Macaca fascicularis: one gene and its partners. The protein of the gene in region 1 interacts with the protein of each later gene in a biochemical or structural test. Links are inferred from orthologs where the notes say so. Each region holds a gene or a part of one and is shown in the gene's direction. Other genes may lie near its edges.

Evidence for each region.
Region 2: the proteins of ERBB2 (region 1) and SRC form a complex in vitro, tested with the Homo sapiens proteins (3 studies listed by BioGRID, with this or other methods). The link is inferred for Macaca fascicularis from reciprocal best matches to the Homo sapiens genes ERBB2 and SRC.
Region 3: of the proteins of ERBB2 (region 1) and PTPN3, one has a biochemical effect on the other in vitro, tested with the Homo sapiens proteins (2 studies listed by IntAct, with this or other methods). The link is inferred for Macaca fascicularis from reciprocal best matches to the Homo sapiens genes ERBB2 and PTPN3.

Annotation. Positions count from the first base shown.
Region 1 is NC_088390.1:60,773,704-60,780,346, forward strand, and holds part of ERBB2 (receptor tyrosine-protein kinase erbB-2), read left to right. Parts: intron 1-402; coding exon 403-522; intron 523-800; coding exon 801-927; intron 928-4,116; coding exon 4,117-4,190; intron 4,191-4,276; coding exon 4,277-4,367; intron 4,368-4,583; coding exon 4,584-4,783; intron 4,784-5,144; coding exon 5,145-5,277; intron 5,278-5,359; coding exon 5,360-5,450; intron 5,451-6,171; coding exon 6,172-6,332; intron 6,333-6,643. UniProt on the Homo sapiens protein: Protein tyrosine kinase that is part of several cell surface receptor complexes, but that apparently needs a coreceptor for ligand binding. Essential component of a neuregulin-receptor complex, although neuregulins do not interact with it alone.
Region 2 is NC_088384.1:93,452,592-93,459,334, forward strand, and holds the start of SRC (proto-oncogene tyrosine-protein kinase Src), read left to right. Parts: upstream 1-2,139; 5' UTR 2,140-2,322; intron 2,323-3,595; exon of another isoform or gene 3,596-3,711; intron 3,712-4,568; exon of another isoform or gene 4,569-4,687; intron 4,688-6,743. UniProt on the Homo sapiens protein: Non-receptor protein tyrosine kinase which is activated following engagement of many different classes of cellular receptors including immune response receptors, integrins and other adhesion receptors, receptor protein tyrosine kinases, G protein-coupled receptors as well as cytokine receptors.
Region 3 is NC_088389.1:48,730,976-48,737,618, forward strand, and holds part of PTPN3 (tyrosine-protein phosphatase non-receptor type 3), read left to right. Parts: intron 1-2,062; coding exon 2,063-2,191; intron 2,192-3,145; coding exon 3,146-3,291; intron 3,292-3,807; coding exon 3,808-3,943; intron 3,944-6,018; coding exon 6,019-6,096; 3' UTR 6,097-6,643.

The DNA of each region.
Region 1 (6,643 bases):
TGATGGGCATTTATGGACTGGGCTCAGACCTGGGGAACCTCTCTCCTCTTTTCACAGGAACAGGAGTGGACCTTCAGATCCTGGCTGACTGTGTTAGGGAGAGGACAAAATGTAGAGCCAGACCATTTGGGTTCAAATCCTCGCTCCTCCACTCAGTAGCACAATGACCTTGAATAATTTACAGAACTCTCTGCTTTGGTCTCCCTTTTTGCAAAATGGGAATCTCACAGTGCTGATCCCATCCAGTTCTTGTGAGGAGTAAATGGATGTCAGGTGCTGACACATGGTAGGGCATTTAAGTATTGGTTGATACTGTTCTTCTTGTGCCTGGGCACGGTGACACTGTTCATGGTGGTGCACGAAGGGCCAGGGAATGTGGCAACATGTTCCTGCTCTCCTTAGACAACTACCTTTCTACGGACGTGGGATCCTGCACCCTCGTCTGCCCCCTGCACAACCAAGAGGTGACAGCGGAGGACGGAACACAGCGATGTGAGAAGTGCAGCAAGCCCTGTGCCCGAGGTACCCACTCACTGCCCCCAAGGCCAGCTGCAGTTCCTGTCCCTCTGTGCATGAACCCTGGCCCAGCCCTCCCTGTCCTATCCTTCCTCAGACCCTCTTGGGACCCAGTCCTTGCCTTCTACTGTCTACCCCTGGCCCTCCTCAGCCCTACAAGCGTCCCTATGTCCTCTGTCAGTGTGGGGAGGGGCCTGGACCCTGATGCCCGTGTAGCTGTTAACCTGTCCCGGTGTGAAGGCTGAGACAGCCCCTTCCCCACCCACCCACCTCCACCCCCTCAGTGTGCTATGGTCTGGGCATGGAGCACTTGCGAGAGGTGAGGGCGGTCACCAGTGCCAATATCCAGGAGTTTGCTGGCTGCAAGAAGATCTTTGGGAGTTTGGCATTTCTGCCAGAGAGCTTTGATGGGTAAGAGTGGGCACAATGGCCTGAGACAGTGTCAGGGCAGACAGAGTCCTGAGGATCCAGATGTGGCAGCATCTCTCGGGGATGGCAGGAGACAGAAGTTGATGGGGGGGGAGGGCAAGAATGCAAAGAAAGCAGATGGGAGACCAGAGGGAGCACGGTCTTTGGGGTGGGAGGGGTTATTTTTGTAAATGACATGCTATCCGTGAACAAGGACTTGTATGGAGGTCAGACCACCTAGATAAAGTAAAATTCCCTTTGAGGCCGGGCGCGGTGGCTCAAGCCTGTAATCCCAGCACTTTGGGAGGCCGAGACGGGCGGATCACGAGGCCAGGAGATCGAGAGACGATCCCGGCTAACACGGTGAAACCCCGTCTCTACTAAAAAATACAAAAAAACTAGCCGGGCGAGGTGGCGGGCGCCTGTAGTCCCAGCTACTCGGGAGGCTGAGGCAGGAGAATGGCGTAAACCCGGGAGGTGGAGCCTGCAGTGAGCTGAGATCCGGCCACTGCACTCCAGCCTGGGTGACAGAGCAAGACTCCGTCTAAAAAAAAAAAAAAAAAAAAATTCCCTTTGAGTTCATAGCACCTTTATTCAAAATATCCCCAAATTGGAAATAACTCAAATGTGCATCACTCGGTGAAGGAATAAACAAGTATGAAGGAAAAGCAGTATGTCCATTTGGTGAAGTTCTACTTAGCAACTAAAGGAAACGAACTACTGATACAACATGAATGAATCTCAGAAACATTACATTGAGCAAAGGAAGCCAGAGACAAGATTCCATACTGTCTGATCCCCTTTATGTGAGGCTCTGAACAGACAAGACCACTCTGGTGGGAGAGATCAGAATGGTGGTTGCCCTAGGGTGGGGGGCCTCAAACGGGAGGGACATGAGGACATTTCTGGGGTAATAGAAATGTTCTGTATATTGATTGGGGTATTGGATACATGAGTGAATCCATTTGTCAAAACTCATCAAACTGTATGCTAAGAGTCTACATTTTATTTATTTTAATTTTAATTTAATTTAATTTAATTTTTTGAGATGGAGTCTCGCTCTGTCGGCAGGCTGGAGTGCAGTCGTGCAATCTCGACTCACTGCAACCTCCGTCTCCTGGGTTCAAGCGATTCTCCTGCCTCAGCCTCCCGAGTAGCTGGTGCTACTGGTGTGTGCCACCACGCCCAGATAATTTTTGTATTTTTAGTAGAGATGGGGTTTCACCATGTTGGTCAGGATGGTTTCAATCTCTTGACCTCATGATCTGCCCGCCTCAGACTCCCAAACTGCTGGGATTACAGGCGTAAGCCACCATGCCCGGCGCATTTTATTGTATAAGTTATACTTCAATAAAAATATAAGTTATACTTCGATAAAAAATGAATTGGGGCCAGGCACGGTGGCTCACGCCTGTAATCCCAGCACTTTGGGAGGCTGAGGCAGGCAGATCACTTGAGGTCAGAAGTTCAAGATCATCCTGGCCAACATGGTGAAACCCCATCTCTACTAAAAATACAAAAAATTAGCCAGGCTTGGTGGCATGCGCCTGTAGTCCCAGCTACTTGGGAGGCTGAGGCAGAAGAATCGCATGAACTCGGGAGGTGGAGGTTGCAGTGAGCTGAGATAATTTTGCCACTGCACTCCAGTCTGGGCGACAGAGTGAGACCCTGTCTCAAAAAAAAAAAAAAAAAAAAGGGGGTCAGGTGTGGTGGTGCACACCTGTAATCCCAGCACTTTGGGAGGTTGAAGCAGGAAGATTGCCTGAGTCCAGGAGTTCAAGACCAGCATGGGCAACATAGTGAGATCCCATCTCTACAGAAAACACAAAAAATTTGCCAGGCATGGTGGTATGCACCTGTAGTCTCAGCTACCAGGGAGACTGAGGTGGGAGAATCACCTGAGCCTGGGAGGTGGAGGCTGCAGTGGGTTGAGATCATGCCACCATACTCCAGCCTGGGTGACAGAAAGATCCTGTCTCAAAAAAATAAAATAAAAATTATCTTTCACACTTCCTTTACCTCCACTCTCCTTTCCAGAGGTGACCATGGTTAGCAGTGCATGTGTTCACCTAGACTGTTTATGCATCTGTAGACACACACACAGTGAAGTGTGGTTTTCATCGTTTTGGTGGGGAGGTTTGTTTCTGTAAATGGGAGCATATGGGGAGCACTGTCTGAACCTTGCTTTGAGAGCCGGTCATGACAGTTCCTGCCGAACCGCCTCGTTCTTTCAACAGCTGCAGAGCAGACGGCAGCAAGGAGAGGCAGCTAAGAACCCAGACTTGGGAGCCAGACTGCCTGGGTTTGAAACCCGGCTCTACCACTTACTAGGCATGTGACTCTTGTGCTGTGCCTCAGTTTCTTCATCTGTAAAGTGGGGCAAAAACAGTCCCAACCTCGTAAGGTGGTTATACCACCACGCCTGGCCAGATGATTATAAAGTTTGAATGAGTTAGTATTTGTAAAGCTCTTAGAACAGTGCCTGGCAGATACTAAGTGCTCCTAAATGTTGGTTGTTATTATGTGGCTGGGTGGCTCAGGGTTTTATTTAACAGCTCCCCTATTTACTAACAGACATTTAGATCATGTTCCATTTTCATTCTTACAAACAGTTCCACCTTATATGTGGCTCTGGGCCAGTGTCTCCCTAGGCCACATTCCTAGAAATAAGATTTCTTTTTTTATTTTATTTTTTTGAGACGGAGTCTTGCTCCATCTCCAGGCTGGTGTGCAGTGGTGTGATCTCGGCTCACTGCAACCTCTGCCTCCCAGGTTCAAGCGATTCTCCTGCCTCAGCCTCTCGAGTAACTGGGACCATAGGCGAGCGGCAACACACCCAGCTAATTTTTGTATTTGTAGTAGAGATGGGGTTTCACCATGTTGGCCAGGATAGTCTCCATCTCTTGACCTGTGATCTGCCTGCCTCAGCCTCCCAAAGTGCTGGGATTATAGGTGTGAGCCACTGTGCCCGGGCAGAAATAAGATTTCTAGATCAAAGGATAGAAATACTGTTTTGATAGATGTTGCCAAACTAAGGCCTGGGCTTTGAAGCCCAGGATGGGAACAGCTGGGCTTGATGGGCAAAGGGTTTGAGTGAAGGCATTCACGGTGGGGAGTGGCTGGCACGGCCAGTGTTGGGAGTGATGTCCACTCTGTTCCTGGCCCTGCTGATTCCTCTCCTGATCCCTCCAGCGACCCAGCCTCCAACACCGCCCCGCTTCAGCCGGAGCAGCTCCGAGTGTTTGAGACTCTGGAAGAGATCACAGGTGGGCTCTGTCTCTGCATCCTGCTCTGCCGGGGCTGGGAGTCCGTGTCCTGTCCCCACTCCCCTAATCTCACCCTCTGCCTGCAGGTTACCTATACATCTCAGCATGGCCAGACAGCCTGCCTGACCTTAGCGTCCTCCAGAACCTGCAAGTAATCCGGGGACGAATTCTGCACAAGTGAGTACTGGGAAAGAAGGGGCCTGATGGAGAGGAGTCCCAGGGAGGAGTCCCTGTGGGAAGCTTTGGGCCTGAGGGAGTATTCCTGTTCCCCTGGGACATAGCAGTAACCTTTCCATGAAAGTCTGCAGAGTGTGCTGGGGATGGAGGAAGATGAGAGTAGCCTTTGCTGTCCGGGAAGGGGACCATGGTAAGGTGCCCTCCTTTCTCCCATAGTGGCGCCTACTCACTGACCCTGCAAGGGCTGGGCATCAGCTGGCTGGGGCTGCGCTCGCTGAGGGAACTGGGCAGTGGACTGGCCCTCATCCACCATAACACCCGCCTCTGCTTTGTGCACACGGTGCCCTGGGACCAGCTCTTCCGGAACCCGCACCAAGCCCTGCTCCACACTGCCAACCGGCCAGAGGACGAGTGTGGTAAGACAGGGAGCCCAGTGTGTGTGCTCCCCATCTGCCAGCACACAAGAGTGCCCACGGGGTCCTGGCACCAGCGTTCTTGGACTTGTGCAGACTGCCTGTCCCTGTGCACCCTTCTTGACTCAGTGCAGCTCTGGCTGGCTTGGCCTCTTGGCATGGCTTCTCTAGCTGGGTCCCACCTGCCTTGGCATCCTTCCCTCCCCCTCTGTTTCTGAAATCTCAGAACTCTTCCTCTCCCTACATCGGCCCCACCTGTTCCCACCCCTCCAGCCCAGAGCCATGCCCACAGCCAGTTCCCTGGTTCACTTGGACCTGGGGCCTCCCCTAAAAGTCCCCTGCGGTCCCTTCCTCCTCACTGCAGTGGGCGAGGGCCTGGCCTGCCACCAGCTGTGCGCCCGAGGGCACTGCTGGGGTCCAGGGCCCACCCAGTGTGTCAACTGCAGCCAGTTCCTTCGGGGCCAGGAGTGCGTGGAGGAATGCCGAGTACTGCAGGGGTATGAGGGGCAGAGGAGAGGGGTGGCTGGAGGGGTGCATGGGGCTCCTCTCAGACCCGCTCACCACTGTCCTTTCTCTCAGGCTCCCCAGGGAGTATGTGAATGCCAGACACTGTTTGCCGTGCCACCCTGAGTGTCAGCCCCAGAATGGCTCAGTGACATGTTTTGGACCGGTGAGCTGCTGGCGGGCTCAGAGCTGGGTGGAGGGGTGCAGCGAGGGGGATTGCCAGGGACTTGGCAGGATGGCGAGACGCGGCAGGGTGTGCCGTCTGGTAAAATATCCCTGGAGAGGGCTCAGCACTCAGACCCGAACAGCAGCAGAGTGGCAGGAAAGGGGGCCCGGGGGACCCTGGGGCCCTTCAGACTATGAAAAGGTTCTAAGGAGGTCTGCGTTTGCGGCTGTGGCTGTGGCTGTGGCTGTGCTAGGGTGGTTAGCCCTGCGGGCTCAGGTGTCAGACTACCTGGATTCAGACCCAGGTCCTGCTTCCAACCTTGGTGTTTTATTCCTAAAATGGGTATTGTAATAGTACCTACCTTGCTGGGGTGTGGCGAGAATGAAATTAAACAGGGCTTGGCACAGTGAAGCCCGGGAAAGGCTTTCTATGCAGCAGTGACTGTTGTTACTCGCTGTTACACCTTAGGTAATGCGTTTTCTTCTCTGGGTGCCTCCCATTCTCTGGCTCAAGTCCCCGCCCAGGATCAAGCTTGGAGGAGGGCCCCGAGGGAGGGTCCACAGAGATTGGGTGAAGAGCAGAGGTGTTTGTCCCAGGAGCATGGTGAAAATTGCTGCTGGGTGGCCTTGGGAAGCACAAAGGGGACCCAACTAAGGGCCTGATCCTACTGCCCTGGGGGTGTCAGTGCCAGCCCCCTACAAACCTTTTCTGCCCCTCCCAGGAGGCTGACCAGTGTGTGGCCTGTGCCCACTATAAGGACCCTCCCTTCTGCGTGGCCCGCTGCCCCAGCGGTGTGAAACCTGACCTCTCCTACATGCCCATCTGGAAGTTTCCAGATGAGGAGGGCACGTGCCAGTCTTGCCCCATCAACTGCACCCACTCGTGAGTCCGAGGGTCTTTTCTGCAGAAAGGAGGACTTTCCTTTCAGGGGTCTCTCTGGGGCTCTTACTATAAAAGGGGACCAACTCTCCCTTTATCATATCTTATTTCTGATGGCAAAAATAACACATTGTTGGGGCCGGGCACGGTGGCTCACGCCCATAATCCCAGCACTGTGGGAGGCCGAGGCGGACAGATGACCTGAGGTCAGGAGTTTGAGACCAGCCTGGCTAACACGGTGAAACCCCATCTCTACTAAATAATATAAAAAATTAGCCGGGTGTGGTGGTGGGCGCCTGTAATCCCAGCTACTC
Region 2 (6,743 bases), on another chromosome or scaffold:
CTGTATCCCAGCATGTAGCGCAGACCCTAGCACATAGTAGATGCTCAATAAATGACCACTGCAGGAGGAAGGATGAGTGCAGCCCAGCCAAGGGCCAGGGGGTGGGAACCTTCCAGGCAGAGGGATCAGCACGTGCAAAGGCCTCAGGACAGGGACTGCTTGTGAAGGGACAGCAGGAGGCAGGTAGAGGAGGGGAGGGGACCAGGGCCTGCACAGCAGGACATCTCTGCGGAAACTGTGAAGTGCAGTGCCAGGGGAGGTGCCAAGCCCATTCCACAGCCTCAGGCTAGAGCCCATCCCTCACCCAACCCTATCCTGTAGCCCTGAGCCCGGTGGCTTCAACTAGACCACTCACAGCACACCATGTGGAGAATGGCGGAGCTGGTCTGGAATTTCCCACTGAGGCCTGTGATGGGTCCAGTTTCCTGGCTGCTGCAGCAAGGGTGAGCTGGGCTGGGGCTGGGCATGGCAGATCAGCCACCATTGAGCCAGAGGCACCAGGGCACTAGGTGTGGTGTGGGCAGCACCTCTAATCCCATGTGATGGGACAACTCTGACTGGTGGGTTCACTGCCTCACCCTACCTCCTCCACCCTCCCCTCAGTTGTGGCTTTGACCCACCCAGGTTGAGGGAAGGAGGGAAGAGGAGGTTTCTGGAGACAGAGGACTATACGACCAGCACTCACCATCTCAGCAATATTGATGTCAGTAGCATCTATCATCTGCTGGGTGCTTTTGGGTTGGGAAGTGGTTCCTGTTGGTGTTCTAAGACTGGTCTGGGGCCATGTATACAGTTGGTAGTCAATAAATGCTTGCTGTCCATTAATGATGATTTGCAGGAATTAAGCAGTGAGTTGCTGCTTTACCAACAAAGAATGTTTTAAGCAAAATAATTTGCACAAAGAGTCACTTGTCCACCAGGCCAGACCCGCAACTCCCAACTGCATAATCCTGGAGCTTGCCAGGGTTGTTACCCTCGTTTTACTGATGAGTACACTGAGGCCCAGAGAAGGCAGGTTCACATAGTCACTGAAGGGAAGAGCTGGAACTTGAACTCTTGTCTGTAGGTCCTAAGTCAGTGTGTGCTGCCTGGCCAACTGGGCAGTGCCTGCTCTGTGCTGGGCATGGGCCAGGCCTTGGTCACTGCCTTCAGGGTGGGGACAGACACACTCAGAATGGACTTGGCACGTGCCTCCATCAGGGTGTGTCAGGAAGCATGTTGTGGAGAAGGTGGCATTTACTCTGGACTTTGAAGAACAAGGCGAGGTAGCCAGGGACAGGGGCTGAGCATTCCTGGCAGGGGTTACAGCCTGAGCAAAAACCCAGAGGGGTGGTTAAAAATAAAGAGCGCTTCAAACGCTCAATAATGAAACCATTGTGCTGGCCACATCCTCCTGAGAACCTCAGCCACTGAGCCAGGCCCTTGAAGCCCGCGGTAGCTTCAGGTGCGAAGCTGCATCTGCCTGCAGAACCCTTACTTGTCTGAGTTGCCTCCTCTCTGATAAGAGCGTGTAGGGTATGAATGAGAATGAGATTTCACATGTGCTGAGCGGGCATCACCTCATTTCATCCTTACGTGCGTCTTCTGGGGGCTGTGATATCTTTAGCCCACTGTTCAGGTTGGCATACTGAGGCTTCTTACATTATCTGCAAAGTGGCAGAGTTGAGACTTGAACCTGGGTCTGGTCCAAAATCTGTACTTTTAAGCTCTCTGTCATCCCAGTTCTCGAAAAGCCCAGAATTTTCTGTTGAACTCCTGGGGATGAATTTAGTGATGTGCTGGTACATATTGAACAACCAGCTCTGTGGAAGAAAAAAGAGGCTTCATTGGTAGCGTATTCTGATGTCCAAGGGGTAAATACTCCCACTGTGGCTGACATGGAGCTAACCAGTGTGACATTCTTGAATATGGACTTGGGAAGAGATGAGCACAGTCGGTTCTTGCAAGTAGGCAAGGGCCAGCTCCAGCGTGTCACTGGGTGACTATACCTGCCTCCCCCCGAGCCCCGTACGGCCAGTAAAGGCCTTTAGACATGTCTAAGGAATGGAAGAGGGCTGAGAAACCTGCTTCTCCAGCCGGGGGCCCGCCTAGCCCTGAGAAGCTGCGGTTAATCTTTAAGCCAGCCTTGCAAACAAGGGCAGCCATTTCGCCTGGCTTCTGCTGTTGACTGGCTGTGGCACCTCAAGCAGCCCCTTTCCCCTTTGGCCTCAGTTTATCACCGGAAGAGCTACTATTCATCTAGCACAACCCGACCATCCTCACACTGGTCAGTTTCAGCCTTCCCAGGAATCTTCTCTGGCCACGTTCACTCCGGTTTTACAGGTGAGGGGGCTGGGCTGGGAAGCTGATGGACTTGTCCACCCCACAACAGAGGGGCAGCTAGCCTAGATGCGAACCTAGATCAGTGTAGAGTAAGGCTTTGCTCATTCCTGGTCTCCTGGAAGGTATTTTGTACCCAGAGGTCTTTGCCTTCCACATTCTAGGGTGCTCCTCCCGGCTCCTCTCAGTGGGGACCTTTGCCCAGGGAATAGAAGCTTGGCAAAGGCTTCTATTTGTCTTTGACCTGGCTGGGCCTTAATTTCCCATCTGTGAAATGGGAGAACTTTCAAAGAAGGAACATGGAGGCAGGTGTGATATTTAAAGCAGGACCCAGGTCCACCTTTCCCTGTGCTAGGATTCCAGGACAGGTGAGGAGCCAAGGGTGGGGTGCCCAGCCCCAAAAGGATAGCCCTGGAGCCTGTGCCAGGGGGTGATGGGGAGTCTTTGTGGCCTAAAGCAGCGTTTCCTCAATGTCCCGTTTTTCTGCTACACTTCCTGCCCTGGTTCAGAGATACTTAGCCTCTTTACTTACTTGGAAGTGTGAGTGCCACTCCGATGCCCTGGCCAACCCCTCCTAAGCAGTAATAACTGGAACTAGGGTACTTCCAATGGGCTGCCAGGGATGTTTTTTCCTTACGCACTTTTTAAAATGAACCCACAACTATTAAAATAAAGGTCGCTCCTCCCCACCCTGTCCCTCCTGCCCCAGCCCCCACTTTGAGAAACTCAGGTCAAGGTTAAAGTCCAGGGCCTGGTTCTTGTCAGTGCCTCAGTTTCCCCATCTGTAAAGTGGGGCGATCTTCCGCCACTCAGGCCAGGTGGTGGTTAGGATTAAACCCTGAAGTCGACCTGAGCACCTTAGCCTGGCGCCTGGCCCAGAGCGGGCGCTCCACGCCCGCTGATATTATTACTAATTGTGATTTCGGGAGAGGCAGATTTGGGGCGTAGAGGGTGGGTGGGTCGAGGAGGGCATTTTGGCCTGGGGGCGGATGGGGCCCGCGGGGTGGGACGCCCTGGCGGAGTGGGAGGCGGGGCCTCTGTGCCCGGTGTCCCCACCCCGCCCGGACCCCGGCCGTGCCTGGGTCTCTCCCGGGTCACCGGCGGGGAATCCGTCCCCGCGCGCTTCCTCCTTCCTCCTCCTCCCGGCTGCCTGCCGGGCCCCTCCTCCCAGCTCGCGCGCTCCCTCCCTCCTCTTCCCCTCCCCGGGCCGCCGCCGCCTCCTCCTCCTCCTCCTCCTCCCTTTCTCTCTCGATCTGTCTCTCCCAGCCCGGAATCCATTCCGGCCTGGGAGCCGGAGCGGCCAGGCCGCCGTCTGCCCTACCCGCCGGCCGTCCCGCGGTCCGCCCTTCCGTGCGTCCGTCTGCCGGTGCGCCCGCCCGCCCGCCGGCCCAGGTGAGCGCCCCCCGCCCCTCCGCGGGCCCCCAGTCCCGGCCAGCGCGGGGGAGCCCCCGCCCTGGACCACCTGGGTCGGATCGCGGGCCCGCGGGGGCTCCTGTCCACCCCCCAATTCCCACCCCCCGGGCCGAGCTGCGATACCCGAGCGCCGGGCGGGCGCACAGGGCCATGCCCAGCGCGGCCTTTTGTTGTGATGCCGCGGGGGGAGGGGACTGGGCGGGGGGACGCAGGGGTCCTGGCTGCGTGGGGACCCCCTCCAGCTAGTGCTCCCCATAGGATCCCCCAGAGAAGCGGGTGAGCTGGGCCCTAGCCCCCGGGCCAGGTCTAGGCCAAATCTGAAATCTGAGCCAGTCGGCGCCGCCTCTGGCTGGGCTGCCCGGTCCTGCGCCCCCCGGCCCAGGGTGGGAGGTGGAGGGGCTCGGCAGGGCAGGCTGAGGGGCCCCGGAGTCAGGGCGCCAGGCCGAACCACCAGGACCTCCCTGCCCTCTTGGGGCCTCGGGTAGGGCCTGGTGCTGCCGGCCTGGAAGGGACTGGGCCAGACTGCGTTTAGTCTCCACTGCCCACAGCCCCCAGCCTCGCCCCAGAGCAGGCCCAGCCACCAGCCGGCTCAGAAGTTGGCAAAAGTTTTGGGTGTTGGCCACCGGGCCAGGTCCACCTGTCTGCCTGGGCTGGGATTGGGGGTGGGTTTGAGTCCTGCACCAGGGCTGCCACTTGCCCTGCTGTGTGTCCTCAGACAACTGCCTGCCTCTCTGAACTGGGGTCCTCATTGGTGGCAGGTGGGCCTGGCTGGAATTGCTGGGCTGGTGGAAGGATGGGGTGAACAGAAGGGGCTCACCTTTGTGGTATCCTTTCAGCACCTGTGTCCTTCAGGTGGACTTAGGAGTGGACAGAGCCTGTGTGTGCCCCTGGGCAAGGCCTCCTGAACTTCATGGACTCTGTACAATTTGGGGCAGTGGTTGCTGGGTCACCTGGGGTAAGTCCAGGCCCAGCCACAGCCACAGTGCAGCTGGGATCAGACTTGGTTTCTAGGGTGGGCCAGGCTGGTCCTTTTGCAGACCCTCTTCTCAGCCCCCTGGCTGGGGAGTCAAGGCACTGAGGCTTCTTGTCTTGCCCAGTGACCTGGGCCAAGAGACTGCCCCACTAAGTCCCCATACGTGAAATGAGAATCCTCAGGTGAAGATTCTAAGCGCTTCTGCAGGTAGAGGCTTGGCATGTAGTAGATGCTCAATAAATGAATTGTTCACTGGACGCATTGGCTGAGAAAGATAAGTGAGATGTGAGGTTGCTGGCTAGTTCATCCTAGAAGAAGATGGGTTGATGCCTTGAGAAAGAAACAGCCCTGGCACCATCCTGCCAGCCAGCAGCTGGGTGACTGTAAGCAACTCACTTTTCCCTTCTGGCCTCAGTTTTGCCACGTATAAAACTGGGCCAATGGTAATGACAGCTGCCAACATCTACTGAACACCTTTTAGGAGGTAAGGACTCTTGTTTATCCTCATTTTGCTGATGGGGAAACTGAGGCTAAGAGAGGGGAAGTGACTTGACCAAGGCCATACAGATGCAAGCTGGAATGAAAGCCCCGACCTCAGAGACCACAGTCTGGCTGCCCTTGCATCCCTCCAGTGATGGGGCAGCGGAGGCTCCCCAGACAGGACTGCGCACACAGCAGGGCCGGAAAAGACTGTTGTGCCGAGGGATTGAATGAAAGCCACGAGGCCTTTTTGGTGATGTGGTGATGTGGTCTTTCCACCCAAGGAAATGATTTACAGTGTGTCACCTCTCTCAGCTGACTGCCTGCCTAGGCCCTCCCGCGTGCCCCTGGGCCTTTGCTTCTAAACAGTGTCCCTCCCGGAGTGCCCTCTCCTCCAGGTGCTGCTTATCTACCCTTGCCCCACCAGGCTTAGCTTAGGCCCATCTCTTCTAGGAAGAAGGGCCCTGGCTGTCTCTCCCTGTCCCCTAGCTCTTCTTGGAGCATGACTTACCCACAGCTCAGCCTGGTTCCTGCTTTTGCTTCTCTGATTGTGACCTGGGGGGTGGGGTGGAGGGATGTCTGGCTCCCTCAAGCCCCAGGAACCGGAGAGGAGATGGCTCGGTGACCTGTTGAGGGACCTTATGCCCATCTCTCTGGTCCTCAGCTGACCCCATTTTCTCAGACCTCCCCATGTATAAGCATTTGTGACCCCTGTATTGAGCACCTGCTGTGTACCAGGAACTTGGAACTGGGGCTGAGCAGTATTGTGCTGGAGTTAGTAGGGAGTGGGAGCTGTGGGAGTCTTGGAGGCTTCTAGAAGGTGGCAGGGCCTGAGCTGAGGACTAGCAAGAGTTCACTCAGCAAAGAAGGGGAGAGGGAGCTCTTTTTCCCTTCCCAGGGGCCCTGGGGTGGTGGGGTGTGGTCAGCCTGGTTGGATACTTGCTGGGAGCCTGGGAACAGGTCCTTGGCCTCCCATAAGTTTGAATCTGGAGGGTGAGCAAAGTTGCAAACAAGTTGCCAGTTGAGTTACTGTATAATCACAGATATGATAAGGGCTCAGGGAGAGAGGCCTGGGGTACAGAGGAATCTTGAAGGAGGCATGTAGGGGTTGACCAGGCATAGAGTTAGGGAAAGGGCTTGCCAGGCAGCAGGAAGTGCACGTGCAAAGGCCCTGGGGTGTGTGCCAAGATGTGTGCTGTCATGGAGAATCAGTGGGAGAAGCTGTGAGGCTGGAGTGTACACAATGAAGGGGAGTGGGTAAGAGGTAGAACGAGCGGGTGTATCAGCAGGGCCGGACCATGCTGGGGCCTTGTGGGCCCTGGGGAGGAGTTTGGCCTTCATCGTCACACAGGGGGCTGATTGGTGTCCCCTGTGTGAACAGCCTCAGGCTGGAGGCCAGAGGTACAGAGCTGACCAATAGAAAGATCTGACGACAGAACTAGATTTGTGGGCTGGACTCCAGTATTTTATGGAGGCCTAGATCAGGTCTCAAGAGGATCGGGTATTTGAGGCTGGGCTTTGGAAGTGGAGTAGAAGTTCACTAGCAGCAAGGCTGGAG
Region 3 (6,643 bases), on another chromosome or scaffold:
AGAGTATTATCAGCCTGGCTAAGGGCTCACAGGCCTGTTGTGTCATTCCAGCTCTGCCCCAGTTCTCTCTGTGTGATCTGGCACACATTGATTCATTCTCTGAGCCTCAGTTTACTCATCTGCAAAACAGAGACAATCATAGTACCTACCTCATAGGGTTGTTTTGAAGCCAAGGTAAAGCCATGTTCATGAAAGGCACCATTCAGTGCTTAGCATCTACAGTTCTGAAGATATGAGGCTTCAGCATCATCACCCCTCATTGCAGCAGCATTAATGTGGAGACTGAGGCCCAAAGGAGTTAAGTAATTTGCCCGAGATCACTAACCAAATATGTTTAGTAGAATTTATTAACCAAGGTTGAAACTCAGGATTTCCATAGACTTGTTCTTTCCACTGCACCCCCAATTTTTTCAGATCCAAATTGAGCTGCAATCTGTATTTGGTCAGAGGTAAAGAGAGAGTCTAGTACTGGTCAGATTCACTGTGGAATAAGGGAAACCTCTCTGGCAGTACAGATATTCGTAGTTCTGCCTTGCATAGGTTGATCTCGTCAGAGAATATCTTCCCTGCAGTTATCTTGTGGGCAGGACCATTGGGAGCCTACAGGGCAGGGATTTATCCTTCCTGTGCAGATGAGGATGCGAGAGAGAACTTGTGTCTGTCAACTCTGCCTTGGGCCCCACAGCCCTTAACCCCTCATGTCTAAGCAAAGTCACAAAATGGCTACTAGCCGAAATTACCCATGTTTAAGGTTTCCAAGTAAATTCTTAACTCCAGCTTTCTGATGGCATACTTTAATTTCAAGTATTCAGTGTGACATTTGAAAGTAAGAATAGAGAGGCTGTTTCCCAACAAATTACACATGTCTTTTGGTTATACCACTTTTCCACCATGAACAAATGTAATTCTTACTTAAGTTGCTATAACCACATACAGGCTTGGGGGAAAATGCTTGTTTAATAAGTTAGGATCTAAATGACAAAAGGATCTATGATGGGATGGACAGCCTAGCCCTGAAGTTTGCTTAGAAGCCAGAGGCAGGTGCTAAGATGGCTTATAGGACAAGCTGCAGGTTTTAGAAGCGGGGATAGAAATTGGGGAGGGTGGTGGGATCAGCCCATCTGTGGGGATAGCACAGCCATATTGAAAGACACTGGGGTGCCATAGGAAGAGTGCTGGCCTGCATCACTGCAGCCCCATGGCCTTGGGCAAGTCACTTAATCCCGAGTAGCCCTGGGTTCCTTGTCTGCTGTGTGGGATATCACCTCTTTAGGGCATCACCTAAGAAAGCCTTCAGGGGCTTCGGAGACACTTCTCCAGTGAGAAAGGTATTCATCTCGATTTGGGAGTCCCTTAATCTGGGTTTTTGTGGAACCTCATCACTCTTACTCAAGCTGGTATATAACCCATGACAGCAGCAGAAGTAATGGCCACCCCTGGCCTGCCCCCCACAGCGGCTAAGCTCTGCACACCCATGCCAGCCGCCTCACCAGCATTGAGGCAGGAGCCATCGCCATCTTTCTGGTGGAAAACAGGAAAATCAGAGAGGTTAAGCAACTGTTTCGACATCATCTGGCTGACAAATGGAGGAGGAAAGGATCCCAGCGGAGTTGTGTGTGACACCAGATGTGTGCCCTTAACTGCCATGCCTGGAGGCCTCCCCTTCAAAAGGGTGGGGAGGATGGTGGAGGAAGGGTGCAGGATGAGGGGCCGTTGGAGGCGGGGAGGGGCATGAGGGGCTGCGGTCGGGGAGGGTAGAGAGGTTGCTCACAGGCCAAGGTCCTGCATCTGAGGCCACTGGTGCTGAAGACGCTGCGTCTCTCGTCCTCCTCCTCCAGGCTGCAGCCTGGGGCTGAGTGGAGACCTATGGCCTGGTCCCTGGCAGGCTGCCCCCACCCCGCCCTGAGAAACAGCTGATGGACTTGGCTGAGTTTGTTTTCTCCCATCAGCTCTCTCGGGTGTGCATGAGAGGATGCCTAACCTGTCCGCCTGTCCAGGGTTAACTGCTTGCATGGACACCCCACAGAGGGAGCTCACATATACTCTCGGTGGTTCCTTACAGACCAAATGTCACCAGTACTGGCCGGATCCCCCCGACGTCATGGACTACGGCAGCTTTCACATCCAGTGTCAGTCAGAAGACTGCACCATTGCCTATGTGTCCCGAGAAATGCTGGTCACAAACACCCAGGTGAGCCGCAGCCTGAGGGGCACAGTGGAGGGGCAGGTGCTGAATCAGCGGCTGCTGTCATTTCAGGTGGTCACGCTTCTAGGTGTGTCCTCTGTTTCCATCTGGTGTCAGTAAGCGCGCAAGACTGCCCATCAAACACCTGAGGCCCAGAGTTCATAGTGGCCCTAGTCACAACAGGCAGGAGGTGCAAACAGCCCAGCATCCATCGACGGAGGAATGGATAAACCGCACATGGTCTGTCCATACAATGGAATATGATTCAGCCTTTAAACGGAAGGAGATTCTGACCCCTGCTACAACATAGGGCAACTTTGAGTGTATTATGCTAAGTGAAATAAGCCAGACATAGAAAGACACATACTGTAGGATTCGACTTCTGTGAAGTGCCTAGAGTAGTCCATAGAGACAGAAAGTAGAACAGCGGTTGCCAAGGGCTTGGGGAAGGAGGAGAAAGGAGATCTATGGACATTATGCCATATGGCATAATGAGTGCGGGGTTTATGTTTGTGGGATATTTTAAAGTTCTGGAAATAGGTAATGGTGATGGCTGTACAGCATTGCAAGTATTCTCAGTGCCGCTGAACTGTACATTTACATGTGGTTACAGTGGTAAGCCTCATGTTAGTGTATTTTGCCACAGTTGGAAAAAAACAAAAACAAAAAAAAAACAGTGAGCATGTGTGGCCCCTAATGGCAAGTACCATAGGAGCAAATGGAGGAGATCTGGGCAGAAGTGATCAAGGAAGGCAGCCCTGCAGGACAGGCCCACAGCGGAGCCTGAGAGGGGATGGGGATCTTTGGGGAAGGAGGGAAGGAATTGCTAGTGGCCACAGCGGGGCTGTGCACAGAGGGAGAAAGCATCAGGAGACAGGGCCACCCTTGTGTCTGGGTTGGGGCTGGGTCCTCATGCTGACCACCAGGATGGGCTCACCAAGGCCACTGCGTCTCCCACAGACCGGAGAAGAACACACAGTGACACATCTCCAGTACGTCGCGTGGCCTGACCACGGTGTGCCCGATGACTCCTCTGACTTTCTGGAATTTGTAAACTATGTGAGGTCTCTGAGAGTGGACAGCGAGCCCGTCCTAGTTCACTGCAGGTATGGCGCTTGCTGTTTTGTTAGGTTTGGAATCCTTTCCCCGTTGGAAAAGGCCTGAAGAGAATTGGCAGGCGCCAGACCCACCCTACATCCCACAAAATAGTGTGCCCTTACAAACCTCTGTTGACTGTGGTTCTTCACCATTTCAAAAGTGATTTGGAATTTTATGAAATCCTAACTTTGTGAATGTAGCACAGAACTGAAGAAGAAAGTCCCCTCACACACCTTTCTCCTGTCCTTCTGTCAGCTGACCTTCGTCATAGGTGTGTGTGAGAAAGAGAGTGGGTTTGGCACTTCACAGTGGCCCTCTTTCCACTGCCTGCTAGGCCCCAGCCTCGGATGTGTGAGGAGAGGCTGTCTCAGCCTGTTTGAGAGCACACCCTGAGTGTGTGTTTTGTATTCTCAAAGGCTAGGGGAGGAAAGTCCCTTTGGAGTCAGTGGGGAACTGCTCGCTGGGCCACGCGAAGAAAAGGCTACTCAGTCAAATCCCAAGTCTCTCTTCTGTCCCCTCTCCAGTGCTGGAATAGGTCGAACCGGTGTGTTGGTCACTATGGAAACAGCCATGTGCCTAACTGAGAGGAACCTGCCCGTTTACCCACTGGATATTGTCCGAAAAATGCGAGACCAGCGCGCCATGATGGTGCAGACATCAGTGAGTAGAAATCCAGTAATAACAGTGGCTGGCGCTTTCTGAGCACTTACACCAGGCAGGCCTGAGAGAAGGGCTTTGTGAGTCAACAGACTGCAGCTCAGGGGGACTGAATCACTTGCCCAAGGTCACAGATCTTATCAGCGGCTACAGCCCACACCCATCTCACCTCTGAGCTCTGCTGCCTCTGTGGTTTATTTCCTGCCAGCCCGTCTGTCAGAAAACAGCCCTGGTTGCATTCTGTATCATTGAACAATTATTTGTCCATCACCCCCCCCCGCCACCTAGACCTGGGTACCCCTTTTGGCTCAGTGGATGTTGCATATGACCCTACTTTGAGCTCTGGCCCACTCGTGTGGTGCTTGAGTAGCTGCAGTGTCCTCCACGGGCAGGACAGAGCTCAAAGTAGGGTCATGTGCAACATCCTCTTGTCCTCAAGAGGAACTCTTGGGGATTTCCCCTGGAATTGCAAGCGGGGCAGTGAAGCGGTGTGGAAAGAGCATGATTAAGGCCGCACCACAAATGGAACAACCTTTGCATAAGTCCTGAACCTTTCTCCAAGCTTCAGCTTCCCTGTGCAAAATGGGGACCATCCCACATTCATCCATTCATTCATTCATTCATTCATTTGACAAAGAATGGTGCAGAGACTGAAGCTTGTATCTAGTATGAGAACTGGATTAGTCTATGCTAAGTGTCAGCAGCAATGAGGGAAGTTGAGGGCTGTCTGAGAACATGGTGGAAGAGTTACCTAAAGCAGGATTGGAAGGTCTAAGAAGGCTTCCTAGAGAAGTGGCCTCTCTGGCAAAACCCCCAGGATACGTGAGGAGTTAGCAAAGAAAGGAGCAGGAGCTGTATGTTCCAACCAGCTGTGTCTCTTCACTGGCTGTGGACAAAGTTTATAAGATTTCCCTGATAGATCTTAAGCTTTGGTAGTGTTATATTAGTTTGTACCCAGAAAATCTTAAGAGAAAAAAAATCGGCTTATGTTATTAGGGCCATTCTCTGCCTTGTTTTTTGCTATGGAAGACCTCGTGACTGGTTAAAAAGAAAAAAGTTCATCATCCTGGAAGATTTTCCCAGCTGGAAGCCGGGCACGGTGACTCACGCCTGTAATCCCAGCACTTTGGCAGGCTGAGGGAGGTGGATCACTTGAGATCAGGAGTTCGAGACCAACCTGGCTAACGTAGCGAAACCCCATCTCTACTGAAAATACAAAAATTAGCCAGGCATGGTGGCATGTGTCCATAGTCCCAGCCACTTGGGAGGCTGAGGCAGGAGAATTGCTTGAGCCTGGGAGGTGGAGGTTGCAGTGAGCCAAGATTACGCCACTGCACTCCAGCCTGAGTGACAGAACAAGACTCGGTCTCAAAAACTAGATAGATCGATGGATAGATAGATAGATAGATATTGATTGACTTTCCTAGCCGGAGAATGAATAGATAGATAGATAGATAGATAGATAGATAGATAGATAGATAGATAGATAGATATTGATTGACTTTCCTAGCCAGAGAAGCTCAGACTAAATGCTTTTTTGCCCCCCTGTATACTTTGCTATAATGTTTCTTAGGTATTTGCTAATATAAATAAGTGTATCCTGCAGAGCCTCTTTCAGTGGCTCTGCTTTGTAAAACAATCCAGACTCTTTACCCCAGCACAAGGTGCCCACAACTAGGTCCCAGCCCACCTGGGCAACCCCTCCTCCTCCACATGCCCAGGTGTTGAGTCCAAGAGCAGGCTCACTGACCCCATTTCTCAAAATGGGCTCTTACTGGGGCTTCCACACTTCCACTTACAAGAATGGCCGCTCTGCAGGGACCTTTGCTCCTTCCCAACTCCCCCGGACTGCCAGTTCCTCCCTCTGTCATGTTTCCATGACACTTTGTCCATCTCTCTCTGGGAGTGCCCCCTCCCCGCGTCATAATGGAACTAGGGCTTCACAGGTGTACCTGGCCTGTGGCCCAGAGTTGGCGCTCAGGGAATGTTTACAAATGCTGCAAAAGACCCACCGGTACAGGGTGGGAGGCAGCATTTCCTGAAGCTACAGGACTTGACAGCTTTTTTTTCTTTTCCAGAGCCAGTACAAGTTTGTGTGTGAAGCGATTCTTCGTGTGTATGAAGAAGGTTTAGTCCAAATGCTGGATCCTAGTTAAGACAACTGTGAAAATGTTCATTCCTCTTTCCCAAGGGCATCCTCCTTGAGAGAGGAGGACAGACCTCTCTGGAAGCAGCAAGAGGAACCAGTAGCTGTGGGAAGGGAATGGGCACCTCTGAACCCAGGCACTTTAAACTTCTATAGAAAAGATACCGTGTACATAGGAACTGGTGTAGATAAGCATGCAATTATGGCATCATGTAGGCCTGTATTTCTATGGAAAGATACAAAAGGGATCTCAGTTTGAGGCCTGTCCTAATGCCTTCTTCCCTAACGTCACCACACACACCCCTGTCGGCATCCTGGAGCAATTGAGACGGGACACCCACAGAGCTGTTGACCTCCCAGCAACAAGATGGTGTGGTTATCTCGGGTTGTTTGGATGTTTTGTTTGTTTCTGTGTGTCATACTGTAAGGGCTGAGCTTTCTGTGCTTCTAGGTGGAGCTGAAACAGTTCAGATTCACCTGCCCCGATGCTAAGGAAACCCTGACGAATGTACTAGATGGCAGGGTGCTGGGGGTCAGGCTGAATGCTGAGCAACACC